Linked DNA regions of Schizosaccharomyces pombe. The protein of the gene in region 1 binds, or shares a complex with, the protein of each later gene. Each region holds a gene or a part of one and is shown in the gene's direction. Other genes may lie near its edges.

Evidence for each region. The genes of interacting proteins can lie anywhere in the genome.
Region 2: the proteins of sre1 (region 1) and scp1 are in contact, whole or in part, in a cryo-EM structure (PDB 5GRS), measured with the Schizosaccharomyces pombe proteins. Residues at the interface, in NP_595694.1 of Schizosaccharomyces pombe: Glu855 (codon at 6,402), Met859 (codon at 6,414), Arg862 (codon at 6,423), Gly887 (codon at 6,498), Ser888 (codon at 6,501), Arg889 (codon at 6,504); in NP_596673.1 of Schizosaccharomyces pombe: Leu596 (codon at 3,589), Asp597 (codon at 3,592), Leu615 (codon at 3,646), Arg617 (codon at 3,652), Leu642 (codon at 3,727), Lys643 (codon at 3,730), Asn683 (codon at 3,850).

Annotation. Positions count from the first base shown.
Region 1 is NC_003423.3:1,687,989-1,696,425, forward strand, and holds sre1 (transcription factor Sre1), read left to right. Parts: upstream 1-3,405; 5' UTR 3,406-3,839; coding exon 3,840-6,542; 3' UTR 6,543-6,703; downstream 6,704-8,437. Other genes in the region: fructose-bisphosphate aldolase Fba1, read left to right, coding at 379-1,455; U4/U5/U6 small nuclear ribonucleoprotein complex subunit PRP38, read left to right, coding at 2,160-2,301, 2,500-2,990; SPOM_SPBC19C2.10 (BAR adaptor protein ), read left to right, coding at 7,233-7,820, 7,936-8,437.
Region 2 is NC_003423.3:4,009,982-4,016,521, reverse strand, and holds scp1 (Sre1 cleavage-activating protein Scap Scp1), read left to right. Parts: upstream 1-1,637; 5' UTR 1,638-1,746; coding exon 1,747-2,675; intron 2,676-2,732; coding exon 2,733-5,064; 3' UTR 5,065-5,374; downstream 5,375-6,540. Other genes in the region: nucleoporin, WD repeat Nup120, read left to right, coding at 1-1,165; mrpl3 (mitochondrial 54S ribosomal protein mL44), read left to right, coding at 5,750-6,313, 6,353-6,540. UniProt on the Schizosaccharomyces pombe protein: Escort protein required for sre1 processing at low sterol as well as oxygen levels.

The DNA of each region.
Region 1 (8,437 bases):
GGTAATGTTTCTTTTGTTTGTGTTTGTGCATCGGGTGAACGAGTTGGTTACCGCCGCCGCCGCTTCCTTTTGCCTTGACACACACCACGCAACGTGTTACGGTTCTTGAACGGAATTGCGTACTTCGATGCAGAGCGCTATCGGGGGGATTGGGGATGGTAAATGGAAGAAATCAAAAACTTCTTTTGACGTCAACCCCTAAAACAGGGGACGGTGATTGGTGGTAACCACGGACCGGATAGGTATCGATATGCACATCAGGTGAGAAGTTTTTCCGAGGCCAACTCCGGCTCCATGGTATATAATAGAGGGTTGCGCGCTACTGTTGCAGTATCATACTTCCAAAGGTCGTATAGAACACACACACAAATTAGCAAAATGGGAATTCTCGATATTGTACCTACTGGTGTTATTACAGGTGACAACGTTTTAAAGTTGTTCACCTACGCTCGTGAGCACGGATTCGCCATCCCTGCCATTAACGTCACCTCCTCCTCCACTGCTATTGCTGCTCTTGAGGCTGCTCGTGAGGCTCGTTCCCCCATCATCTTGCAAACCTCCAACGGTGGTGCTCACTTCTTTGCTGGTAAGGAATCCTCCAACGAGGGCCAAAAGGCCTCCATTGCCGGTTCCATCGCCGCTGCCCACTACATCCGTTCCATCGCTCCTTTCTTCGGTGTCCCCGTCGTCATGCACTCTGACCACTGCGCCAAGAAGCTTCTCCCCTGGATGGACGGTATGTTCGAAGCCGATGAGGCCTACTTCAAGATTCACGGTGAGCCTCTTTTCTCTTCTCACATGCTTGACTTGTCCGAGGAGCCCAAGAAGGAGAACATTGCTCAAGTTAAGGAGTACTGCAAGCGTGCCGTTCCCATGAAGATCTGGATCGAGATGGAGATCGGTATCACTGGTGGTGAGGAAGACGGTGTCGACAACTCTCACGTCTCCCACACCGAGCTCTACACTCAACCCGAGGACATCTGGGATGTCTACCGTGAGCTCTCCTCCGTTACCCCTTACTTCTCCATTGCCGCCGCTTTCGGTAACGTCCACGGTGTCTACAAGCCCGGTAACGTCAAGCTCCAACCCGCTCTTTTGGGTCAACACCAAGCCTATGTTAAGGAGCAACTCAAGACCACCAACGACAAGCCCGTTTTCTTCGTCTTCCACGGTGGTTCCGGTTCCTCTGTCAACGAGTTCCGTACTGGTATCAAGTGCGGTGTCGTCAAGGTCAACATTGACACTGATACCCAATTCGCCTACGTCGAGGGTGTCCGTGACTATGTCTTGAAGTACAAGGACTACCTTATGACCCCCGTCGGTAACCCCGAGGGAGCTGACAAGCCCAACAAGAAGAAGTTCGACCCTCGTGTCTGGATCCATGAGGGTGAGAAGACCATGACCAAGCGTGTTCTTACCGCTCTTGAGGACTTCTACACTGTCAACACTCTCTAAATTTGTGGTTTTTGAAAGATGGAAATGATTGAATAGACGGTGGGCTTCATTAAAATTATATTTTTTTGTCCCCTTAATGAGAGTTCATACTGTTTTGAAATTACGTGTTTGAATATAGAGACATTGTTTTTTAAAATTACCATTGTAAAAGCATAAGAGATATTTGAAGTAAAGTAGGGCAAAGTAAGTTAAGAAATTTTTTTGGATTGGATTTGTAAAGTGTTTTTCAAGCATACTGTATATTGTTAAGATTTTTCTTTTTATCCTTTTATTCATCTTCCTTAATTGGTTAATGTGTTCTTAGGTATATAAATTTACAAAAAAAAAATTTCCGATTCCACATGACAATGAATGAATAAATAATATGTCCGTGCGTTTATTTGAATTTAATATATATCGTTTGGCAAATCTCGATGAGTAGCTTAAAACAACATAATCGCTTGAATTTCATGTGCTTTGTGTACACAGTGTGCATTGTTTAGTAGATCAACTTTTTCTTCTTTCATTGCAATGAGTACGGGCATTTTCCCTTTTCCTCCATATTTCACGAATCCATGTTTTTTTTAGATAACCCTTTCTCAATCAAAACTCAGCATGCTTCTTCAGACTTGACCACTTATATTGTCAGTACACTACTGCTCCTTAAAAGCTTACTCCAAGTCAAGACATCAAGGTTGGAGCAATCATTCTCTTCATGAGGTACTATGGCTGATTTTCTTGCTAGAGATTATCGCTCTCAAGGTGAGGCGGCGCATGAAATGCTGCCGACTTTCCTTATAGGAAAAATCTTGAGAGAACGCATAGTAGATTCTATTTACTGGAAAGAACAATGTTTTGGATTGAATGGTATGTGTTCTTCATTGACAGAAAAGGAAAGTGTTTTTACATATTAGAGTTCAAGTACGATTACTTTCCAAATCGATATTTTGAGTGATATAGCCTAAATGAACTTGATTTGGCAAGCAAAGAAACCAAGTATAGGTACTTGCTGTTTTAATCAGTCCTCAAACTGTTATTCCAAATTCACTGACTAATACATCTTAGCTTGTTCATTGGTGGATCGTGCAGTACGGCTTGAATATATAGGTGGTCAGTATGGAAATCAACGGCCCACCGAGTTTATCTGTTTGTTATACAAGCTTTTACAAATTGCACCTGAAAAAGAAATAATTCAACAGTACCTATCTATTCCTGAATTCAAGTATTTACGTGCCCTGGCTGCATTTTACGTTCGGCTTACATGGGATGATGTGGAAGTGCATCAAACGTTGGAACCGCTGTTAAGAGATTATCGGAAATTAAGAATTCGTACTAATTCTGAGATCCGATTAACATATCTGGATGAGGTTGTTGATGATTTGCTAAATGCCGAAGTAGTTTGCGATATTTCCCTGCCCCCATTGCGAAGTCGACTCCAACTTGAAGATTTGGACTTGCTTGAACCACTTTCATCTTCTTCAGACGAAGAAGATGATGATGAAGAACAAATTAGTAAATTGGAGAGCAATGAAGGTGCTGTAGATCGGAATATTTAAGGATAAGTAATATACAAAAAAAGAGTAAAGCGAAGCACGCATTTTGTGATGCGTCTACGATTTAACTTGGAATGACTCTACAAGGAAAAGTTATGGATTGAAATGGTTTTACACTTGAACTTATTAAAAAACAATTTATGAATAACAAACATCTAATCAAATAGATTTGTATATTAATATATATCGATTTCACATATTATCGCAAATACGCTATTTTTTCTTGTAAACAAATTTCGATAGACTTAGTTTACAGCACACTAAATATTTATAAAATGTCTTTGATACGCCACGGAATTTTTTTCACACCATACTTTAACGAATCACCCCATTCCGTCTATTTTCTTACGTTTCGTTAAAAACATGTCAGTCCACTTCTTTTTTGCTCACATATGAATTAACACGACTTTTCTCTTTCATCCATTACCATACTCGAGCAATCCTAACTTTGCTTATCGGGTGATCGATTTTAAATTTTTTTACTTATAGGACGTCCAGTAGCCTTTATAAGTTCATTGACAACAATTGGGTTGTTGCTGAGAGTTTGTTTACTGCGCTCGACTCTTGCTATAACCTAATCTTAAACGATTATCAAGCTGGATTTCCTTCTTGCTAAGAACATTATTTTATTTTACAACTCATTCAAGAAATTATTTTGCTATCTATCGCCTTGGATAGCTTTTAATGCGTCAAATTTTGGATAATTTGTAGCTCGATTAGAAAATTCGCTCAACATCCTATACAGTCACAGAGATAAAAAACCCTAAGAGTTAAATTCAATTTCTCTTTATTGTTGGATTTTTTAACTCGCTGTTAAATTCCGCTTGGTTCTAGCTGGAAATTTTGTTAAATATGCAAAGCTCAATTCCGTCAGTTTCCGTGTCGGTCGCTTCTCCTGCAATGGAAACTCCAACAAAAGCTTCGCCTGACAGCAAATCACCCAATTCAGTGGGTGCGATTCCTTCTTCATCCCCTTTGGCTTCATCGACAAAGGCTTCAACTTCTACTCCCTTTGTGGAGAATTGTTCCAATCTGTTGTGTGATTTGGCTAGCATTGTCGAGGACTCACCTCCAACCTTGACCAACACCTCGTTGTCTCCCCATTCGTTTTCCCTTTCTGATATGGAGTCATCAATGAGCAATTGGCTTAACCCTTTTGCGTTCGACAATACGATGAACTCGGCGCCTCCTCTGTTTACTTCGACCAACATGGGCTCCCCTAACTCGTTAGAAAACTCTACAAATCCTCTTCTCTCTAATTGCGGCTCTCCAAATTCATTTCAGAATGAGACCTTTACCGGCCCATCATTGAATGAGTTCGATGCCGATGATAAAATTCAGCGCCAAATGAAAATCCTTCACTCTGTTGATACAATCGATCCATCGACTGTTCAAAATTATCCTTCAGCTGATATGTCAAATCCAGAAGTCAAATTGAAAACCGAAGAAATTATTACACCCATGGACACCACTTGCAAGCCTGAACCTTCTGCCAAGAAAATAAAGTTGTCTCCTTCCTCGGAAGATTCTTGCTCAATTCCTGAAACATTACCTTTTTCGGCCCCCAAGTCTAGAGGCTCATTATCTCCTTCTGAAACCCCAGATTTTGTAGCCGGTCCTGGAGGAAAACCAAAGAAGACAGCTCATAACATGATTGAGAAGAGATACAGAACCAACTTGAACGACCGAATTTGTGAATTGCGTGATGCAGTTCCTTCACTTCGTGCTGCTGCTGCACTTCGTTGTGGTAATTCTCTGGACGATGAGGATTTGGGGGGTTTGACACCCGCTCGTAAGCTTAACAAGGGTACAATATTGGCAAAAGCAACTGAGTATATCAGACATTTGGAGGCCAAGAATAAGGAACTACAGAAGACTAACAAGCAGCTTTCAGATAGGCTGGCTTTCTACGAAGATCCTTCGATGGCTCCTCCTTCTAACGATACTCGAGCCGTTAACTCTGTTAATGTTGTTTCCTCATCTGACTATTCTGTTCACCAATCTTCTCGACCAAACCTAACCCAAAGAGCTTTTACTTCCCCAACCCTAAATACCATGGGCCGCACAGCACTAAATGGCATGGTTGGACTTGGTCTATTCAATTATTTTGGAAACGATTCTTCTCAATCTGTTTATGGTTTATTCGCTCTTCCACCTTTTCTTATGTCTCCATTCACAGGTACTGTTCTCTTTAACATGCTGAAAATTGGTGTTGTTTTACTCGGTTTATTCTATCTTTTGCACGATAACTCTCTTTTCAAAGGCTTCAAGGGTGAAAAGAAATCTAAAGTTAGTACCAGATCTTCCATGTCACCATCCTCAATCTTATTCCGAAAAACCGTATTCGAAAAGTATTGTTTATTGGACCATTCTACTTCGACTATTTCTCTATTTTTTGGATTACTGATCTTCACTCTTAAATCTGCTTATGGCTATTTGACTCATCGTTTGAGTGCTCTTTATACCTCCTCTGAGAATTGGGTTTATAGTGAGCAACAACTTGCTGAAGTTCGCAACATGGAAAAGCTTTTGGATGCCCAATTAATGGGTGGTGATGCTAAAGTTGACCGTTTGAGGCTCTTAATGGTATTTGCCAGTTCATTTTCTCTTCCTCCTTCAAGTCATACTTGTGCTTTACAAGCAATGTATTGCCAACTAATTTTTTCCAACACCTCTGTCCCATCCGCTATCGTTTCGAAGTGCGTTGCTTTCTTCTGGAATGCTGCAAAGAAACAACATAGCAAAAGTTCTGTACACGCGGAGTTACGTGAGCTTCCTGAGTGTACTGCTAACCTAATTGAAAACTCCCACGCTGACGACGTTTTCTCTCCGAATATGGTTGAGCGATTGTGGGTTCTAGCAAAGTGCACCCGTGACTCTGCTCAAATGTCAGATAGTATTATTAGCTCCTTATCTGATGTTTTGGTTTTATCTCCTCTAGAGGTGCTTGCCTCATGGTATGCCGCTGATTTGTTGGATGCCCTTTTGATGGAAAGTTTGAGCCGTAAAGTTGAGATATCCGAGATTGAGGAAATTATTTCCCTTTGTCCTAAGAACTCCTCTATTATTCGTCATGCTTTACTAGCTAAATTGGTTTTGTTCCCCGAGAATACAGCTGATTCTTTGAATGAAGTCCTTGCAGCATACAAGAACACTTTGGATTTATGCAGCCAAGATAAACGCAAGCAGTCAAGCGTGTTAAAGATCAACTTATCCAAGCTATTCACACTCCACTCATGCCTATCATTAGCACTCCAACGCCTTGGATACGGGGATGTTTCTAAACGTATGTATCAGGAAATCTTTGTACCTGATAGTGATGCAGACATTACACCTTTATCTTTTATTATTTCCTGGACCGCTTTGAACACTTTTGCTCCTATTTGCACATCTCCAAAGGAAAACGATGTCGTTGAAAAGATGGCCATGTACGTGCGGACGGCCATCGGAACTTTGAAAATTCAAGATTTGAAATTATCTCGTAAGTTAATCAACTCTTGCATAGATATTGGATCTCGCTTACAAGAAGATTTGGGTTATGTTTCATCAGCTTAAATTGTCGATTCTCGAGCTTTGAGAACAGTTAGTATACAACGCTCATCTATTGCAACTACCTTATTATTTTCCATGATTGTTATTTCATCAGTTATTTTGCGTATCATTTTTTAGTTTTAATTATTCTTTTAATAAATTACAGTTGTCGTCGGTAAGAGCAGTGATAAAAATATGCAATTAGAGTTATTTTGTTGTATCAAGCTAGCACAATTCACCATTTGAGTATATTTGGTGATTAAATAAAATGAATAGAGTACAATTTGAGGCATGCTAAGGTTCATCGAACTAACTATTTTTTTAAATAATGACACATTGGCAAGATTAAAAAATTGGATTCTTCTCTTGCAGTTAACTCTCTGCTGTTGATGAAGATGTGTTGAATCTTAGACTGCTGATATCCATTTTATACCAATTGTATAAAAAAAAGAATGTCAATTATTAATAAAATGGAAATGCATAAGATAGATAAGAGTGGTCTGAAGTTTTACGGTACAGTACGTAGTTCCGTCCTTACTGAAATCTCGGGAGTAATACGAACCATTCACCAAAGGTAAACAAACTACCAAATTGTTTTTATGTATTATTTACTACTATATTGGTTAACTTATTCTGAATCCTACAACCTAAAATAAAAATAAATAGACTCGCTTTTATTATTTGTCGATTCAAGAACTTAGCTCTCCTTTGAAGATGAACAAACATTTTGCAAAGCTTTCACAATGGACCGGTGAAAAATTTGGTTTTGATCGTCAGAAGACTACATTATCTGATGATTTTTGTTCCTTGAAAGGTGAAACGGATGCCTGGCTTGTGGGAATGGATAAAATTCATAGAAGTTGCACAAGATGGGTACGGAATATGGATAAACGAAAGGGCCTGCTCGACGAGAAAGATAAGCAATTACCTGTTACTCACGTTGGATCGTCTTTTGTAGAGTTAGGGCAAGCATTATCGCATTCTTCAAGCAATTCGCACACTTATATCATGTACGGAAAAAGCATGGTTGAAATAGGGCACCTACAGGAGGAGTTTATGGATTATTTGAACAATTCTTTTTTGGCAAATCTAGAAAATTCTTTAGCCGAGTTTAAGGCTTTAGATGTGAAGGAAAAGAAGATGGAAAATCGACGACTTGTCTTTGACGCGCTTTCTACAAAAATACAGAAGGCCAAAAAAGAAGAGTCAAAGCTTGAAGAAGATTTACGGAATGCTCGCGCAAAATACGAGGAGTCTCTGGAAGAGTTTGAAGACAGAATGGTTCAATTGAAAGAATTAGAGGTAAGTATTATCGTCCTAATGACATTCGTTACCAATTTGATGCCATAATTAAACGATTATTAGGCCTGCCTAACTTATCTTATATGACTCAATATTTTTGTTAACTAATTTTTAGCCTGATCGTGTCGAAAACGTTGTACGACTCCTACAGATGCAAATACGATTTCATCAAAAAAGTCTCGATTTGTTAAAGGGACTTGAGATGAACGGATTTTCCAAGAAGAGGGATAACGTTAATATTCCAAAGCGTACTTATTCCGCAAGATCTATTCCATCGAATATTTCTTCAACAAATGTTGCAACAACGCCCTCGAATACCATTTTTGAAATGGATGATACTTTAAAGGCCGATAGTTCTTCAAATGAATATCATTCTCCCACCAATACACTCCCTTCTTACCATACAGAAGCTGACCTGGACAATTCTTCCATAGCTTCTTCAAATAGAACACAGCATACTGAAGATAATTATAACAAGGATGTTTCGGATGCTCAAAATTCATTGGGGCAGTCTGCTGTAGATTTAACAACTCCCTCATCACCTCCAATCCCCCGTCATACCAAACCCAAACTGTCTACGACTCAAAGTACCCCAGTCAAACCGGCATCGTTACAAA
Region 2 (6,540 bases), 2.3 Mb from region 1:
TGTTGATTCAACAAACTGTAATTTAAATACTATGGAAGCTTTAGCAAGTGTTAACACAGCCCTTCAGTTTTTTTCCGCTTTGAATTATTCCGAATGTTTCTCAGAAAGCCAAATTTCACCTTTACATGCTACCGTGATATCGTCTTTGTCGGCAATCTTTATAAGGGACGATACGGAAAATGATCTGGTCACTGAACTTGTAGAAAAGTTGTTTCTATTCAAACAATATAATGCATGTATGCAATTAATAGGGTGGCTTAACTCTGACCCAATTGCAGTCTACTTGAAAGCACTTATTTATCTCAAATCGAAAGAAGCTGTTAAGGCTGTCCGATGTTTCAAGACTACTTCTCTAGTCCTTTACTCACATACTTCTCAATTCGCAGTTTTACGGGAGTTTCAAGAAATTGCTGAAAAATACCACCATCAGAACCTATTATCGTGTTATTACCTTCATCTATCAAAAAAGCTGTTCGAGGAGAGTGCATATATAGATGCATTAGAATTTTCTTTATTAGCAGATGCCTCGAAAGAGACTGACGACGAAGATTTGTCTATTGCAATTACCCATGAGACTTTAAAAACCGCTTGTGCAGCAGGAAAGTTTGACGCTGCTCACGTTGCATTGATGGTTTTATCCACTACGCCTTTGAAAAAGTCATGTTTACTAGACTTTGTAAATCAATTAACGAAACAAGGTAAAATAAATCAGCTTCTAAATTATTCAATGCCAACGTTAAGACAGGACGTCGACAATTTGCTTGAGCGAAAGGCCTTTCAAATGATTAACGTTGAATCACAACCATGCTGGTATAATATTTTGTTTAGTTGGCGGTATAAACATCAAAACTATCGAGACGCAGCAGCAATTATTTATGAAAAACTGAGCCGGTATATCTCTACTACAGAATTAATTGGAAAAAAGGAGAGAACTTTTATAATAGAACATTATTTGATTGTTTTGAACACTCTGGAGTTGCTTCCGAAAGAAGATACATGGATTCTTGTGACAGACATGTCCGTGGACAAGGAACCTGACCCTAACTTTCTTCCACAAAAATTACTTACTCTAGATGCAATTGTAGCAGAATATCACTTACAGTTGAAGGATGTCGCTGTTCAAGTTACAGCTGAAATGTCATCGGCCATGAATATCGATTTATAAAGGCAACAAAGAATTATTTACGCAGCTTAACCTTCTCATTTAGAAAAATCCAGAAAAAAAGCAATATGCTTGGCAGAGTTTTAGTAATTAAATCATCTTTAGTTTCATTGAGGCGATGGGTAGCCATAAATAACTAACTTCTTTCTATAAAATTAAATTCTGAATATAAATATACTTTCGATAGCATTGGTATTTACATATCTTTAACGAATTATAATTCCGACCTTTTTGCTGCAGCTTGCCGCAGTTTGCTAATTAGTGTTGTCCGTTGGGAAATATTGTTGAGATACGGCTAGTATCGGCAGAATGTTGGAACCAACAATAATTATATATTTGAATTTTTATTTCCTTATTTTATAACATTTTTTTGAAACTTTTGGTTTCAGATTAAATAATTCTCTATTAATAATAGTGTACGGAAATTGCACGCCGTGTGCCCGAATTTAAATTTGTCGGGTCCCGAAGGAATGTACAAAACACCAAGACCTGCGAAAACTGATTCTCAGTGAATTGGGTATATCGGTCTTGTAAAGATCTAATTAATGAACGTTTACCAATGTTATTGAACTGAAAATATCGTTATGAGGATTTTTACTCTTGGAAAAGGCCGAATTTCACGAGGGTATGCTCGGCAAGTTAACCCTTCATTATTTGCCAAGTACAGCTACTGTATTGCCAATAATCCTTGGTATTTCATTCTTGTGTTTACTCTTTTATCAATCACAGGTATATATTCGTCGTTGGTAGCGTATCAGCAATCCCTTTACGATCAATCATTAGCTAGATGGTCGGCTTGGTATGCCGAGAGCATCAATGCTGAAGCAAATGTTATTACGAAACAACTCTATCTTTTAGGAACGAACACATCAGTGTTTTCCGAAGACTATCTTTCAAACGCGTATCGTTGGGAAACAAGCTTCCATCAATATTTGGCGGAATACGGGTATCCTTGCATAAGAGATGAAAAATCCTGTGTAACTATTTCTCCAATACCAAAATATTATGGTAAGGTTGATCCTGTAGCTCAATATTCATATACTAAAGGGCTTCCTGAAAATGAGCGTGAAGTGAACAAGCTTAGGAATGATACAATAGCCGAAGGTTTTGACTCGCTTAGTGCTTTTGTGATTACTTACTTTTTAAAGCCTGAACAAGTCGATACTTTTCATGTTGTTTTAAAGAAATTTATTTCCGAAACTCCTAATCTATATGCAAGTTTACTTGATACATCCCCTACCACTGTCGTAGCACGTATTCCTGACCTTACTGTTATTTACAGATGGTACCTATGGGTTGGGTTTGGAGTCGGACTTTTTGCATATTTGTATTTGTCACTTGTGCGGTTGCATGATATTCGTGCTAAATTTGGTCTTACAGCGACTATATTTATTCAAAGCGGTACTGCCTACTTCTCTACCTGTTCTTTGCTGTATTTCTTTGAAAGAACGGGCCCCATATGTCCATGGCCTATGGCTTACTATATTATCATATTTATGGACATTGAAAACTCGTAAGTTTTTTTGCTATACTTCGTCATTATGTGAACGTTTTATTACTAACTTATCAGATTTCGACTTTTACGCGCAGTAATCGCTTCTCCTCAGACGAAGCGTGTTCCTTCTCGTATAATGGAAGGGTTTTCTAGTACTATTATTGCCTCCTTTTCATCCTTACTTAAGAAGTTATTGACTCTTTTTGTCTTGAGCTTCTTTGTTTATCCTCTGGTGCAGGAGTTTTGTTTGTTTCTTGCCTGTTCTTTCGTCGTTAGTTTTTTACTGCATGGAAGTTTTTTTCTAGCGGTCCTAAGTGTCGATATACGTCGTTTGGAGTTGCAAGATTTTTTAGATTCAAACTCTTCTAATCGAAACTCAAAATGGTGGGTTCCGTATCTAGAATACGTAAGATTCATGTGGTCTCCATGGATTATCGATAATCTTGGTACTGTTTCATTTCATATGTACGTTATTTATTTACAACTCCAATCCAGTACAGATATCAATGGGTCTTGGAGATTAGCATCTCCTAACATTCGCTTTCTCATTACGTTATATCATCGTTTAGGCCGTATTTTACGAGAACGAAAGTTATTTCCACTGATTACGACCGGTTGGTTTGGTGACCCCACTTTTTTAGAAGCATTAAAAGAGAAGACGATGGCGGAAAACCTTGTTATTGCTTTGTATCGACCAGTTATTCTTGACACTGTTAACCGTCGTGATTACACTAATGTCTACAACTCGTTTCATGACCGGAGAGTATGGAGATGGTCAACATTTTTCAGCATACTGTTCGCAATTGATTTTGCGGTTGGGTTGCTTGTTAAAGCACTTTTGCGAGGCTGGTCTGACCATGACGAGCTTTCAACCGATACAACATTACATGAGGAAAAATTCAGAATAGAACCCGTTCCTGTTCATCATCAGCTTGACATTTTAAAAATTGCTGTATCTGAAAACTATAAGACGTTTGCCTCCGTCGGGTTAGATAGGTGTCTTGTAGTTTGGGATTTACGTCAATGGTGTACAAAGCTTGTACTTTCAAAAGAACAAATGCCCAGGACGTTAAAAGCAATAGCTTTAGATCCTCAGGGAAACTACGTTTCGTTGTTCTCAAAGGATACTTTATTCATTCTGAATGTAGAATCTCCTTGCTTGATGCTTCAACATTCCTATCACTGTAAGCCAAATAGCAAATTAAACGTGTTCTGGATGCCGGGTACGCATAAAGATGATGAATGGAAAAACTTTGAGCTAGTGGTTGTTGAAAGCTCAGGCGAAATTCAGGTTTTTAGTCTGACTATTGAAATTGAAGGTGCAGATATAGCTTTGGTTGAAAAGTTTCAATTAAGTTCTCCGATTATTAAATCAATAAGTATCGTTTCACCCACGGCTAATAGAATTGCTTGTTTGACTGAATCCGGTGAAGTGACTGTATATTCTAAAAAAGGACCCGTCTGGTCCCCAAAGATTTTATCTCAAAACAAAAATTATCTAACAGAAACAAAAAAAGATATTTATGGAATTGCAATGGCGGACATTTTGTTTCTTGCTCGAGATAGTGGTGTCGACATGATTGACCTTAAAAACGATGAACTATTACATTCCTTTACACTGCCGCCGATAAAAGTAAACACTTTTTCAGTTGGCGTGAGTAACAGTCGATTTGTTAATGGACAGTTTAGAGTGTCATCAATATCGTTTTGTTTTACTCACGCTGTTACCGAAAAGGTTCTTTATTATTACTACGGTAATGAATGTAATGAGTCTTATATTATATTGAATAAATGGGATCAACAGCCAAATCTTGTGGACGTACACGATCCTGATAATTCGCTGGCTTGCTTGACCTTTGATGAACTACAAGAAAATATCCATGAAGTCGAAGATGCTAGTGAATGTGTAATGAGCTCAGATGGACTCTACATATTTGGCATGCGAAGAAAAAGTTCATCGGGGATTTGTCCAACAGCAGATGAGAAAAACGAAGATAATGGTTTTACTCTTCGTAACCGAAAGTTGCGAACTGGCCATTACAATTGGACGTCTTATGTACCCCTTCTAGATTCTTATATGCAAGACATGGAACACAAAAAAAATACGCATAGTGGTGGTGAAACCCAGGTATGGGAAGTTTGGATGTACTCTCAATCTGAAAAGAAGCACCGCTGCAAATCTTTAAAGATGTATAATTCTTTAATTATTGCAGACCCTGGACCTTCTCTTGCAGTCTCTGATAGATGCGTAGCCATTGTTCTAGGTAATTACGTTGCACTAGTCGGCTATGGAAGTGAAATCTTTCGTGATTTTTACCAAATCAGAAATTCCGATGAGATGGACAGAATTTTACGTCGCAAAAGAAAAAATTTACAGAGAAAAAGATCGGGGACCATCGGATGTTAAAATTAGTACTTCTTGTTTATTAGCCCTATGTTGATGTGCATATATATATGTATATATAGCTGCGATACCGTTTGCTAGCATGTCATGGTTGTCGGGATTGTTATAAGACCACTTTAGGGCTTATCATTCGTTCTTGAATAAGAAATATGTGCTTCCATTGTGTTTTAACTATTTAATATCTACCCAATTATTTTGTTAGCATTTGCAAGCCGGCCTTGCTAATGTCACGAGACACTTAACGTTTGTGGGAAGTTGCTGATTCTGTTAGTATTTTTAATAATTTATGAAATGTTTTTTTTTTCGTTCATAACTATTCTAACATGTGGATTAAAATTAAAGATGTTGTTTATAATTATTTTTTTTTTTATATTGTAAATTAGGAAGACAACAACACTAATTTTAATGTTCAGAAGTTTATGGTTTGTATCCATGAGGTTCATGCAACTAAACTAGGATGGATTTACTAAAAAATTTGTATTTGTTTTGTTTATAGTAGATTTTTCTTAATAAACTAATCCCAATGTTAAAGACAATTAGCCAAAATTCGTTTTGAATTTCTGGAACGCGTACCCACTTCTTAAAAGTTATCTTCCGCCTATTTTACCTCAACCTGTTTAATAACCACCTTAACGACTATTGTATGCTGCATACATACAGTTTATAATTAATTGTAACTAAAAATACCATGTCGTTTATAAGCAGATCAACAACGACCTTTCGGAGGAGCATATCTATGAAAGACTATGCGAGGGTTCGGTGGTACAGTAACAGCGGCAAATCGTTGATCGAAAATATTCTTTCATCCAAAATTGCAATCTCAAAAGTTTATACCCTTAAAAAAAGAATTGGACTTCCTGAAAGTTATCCAATGAAAGTTCTTGTTCAAGCACTGATCGATAAGACTGTTGTTCAAAACCCCCAATATTCTAACGAAAAACTCTGGTCAATAGGGAAAGTGTTTGGTGATTTCTATGTTCTTGAATACATTAAGTGCAAATACCCCAGGCTGCCGGAGGAAGCAGTTCATGGCATGCAAAATGGGTGGATGGGCTCAAAGGCTTTGAGTCAGTTAGCAACTATCTGGGGTCTTGAAGTACAGAGAAGAGAAGAAGGTTTACAAGAGTCATTTGGAAAAGTTTTAGCGAAGCGTGCTGACCCTGAAATGCTGAGGAAGCCTGGTGAAATTTACAAAGATGAGGCAGCGCGAAGAGCCATTTTAGCAATTTTGGGCGGAGTTTACCTACATCAAGTAAGAAATTTTTATCAGTGTTTACTAATGTTTTTACAGGGATTTAATGATACTAAAAAATTTATTAATGACCACATCTTATCTAAACAATTAGACCCAAGAACAATGTTACAATTGCAATGGCCTCGGCGTCAACTATCTCGTTTATGTAAAAGGCTTTCATTAAAGGAACCAGTCTATCGCATTATAGCCGAGACGGGAAGAAAAAGCAGAGAACCTGTTTTTGT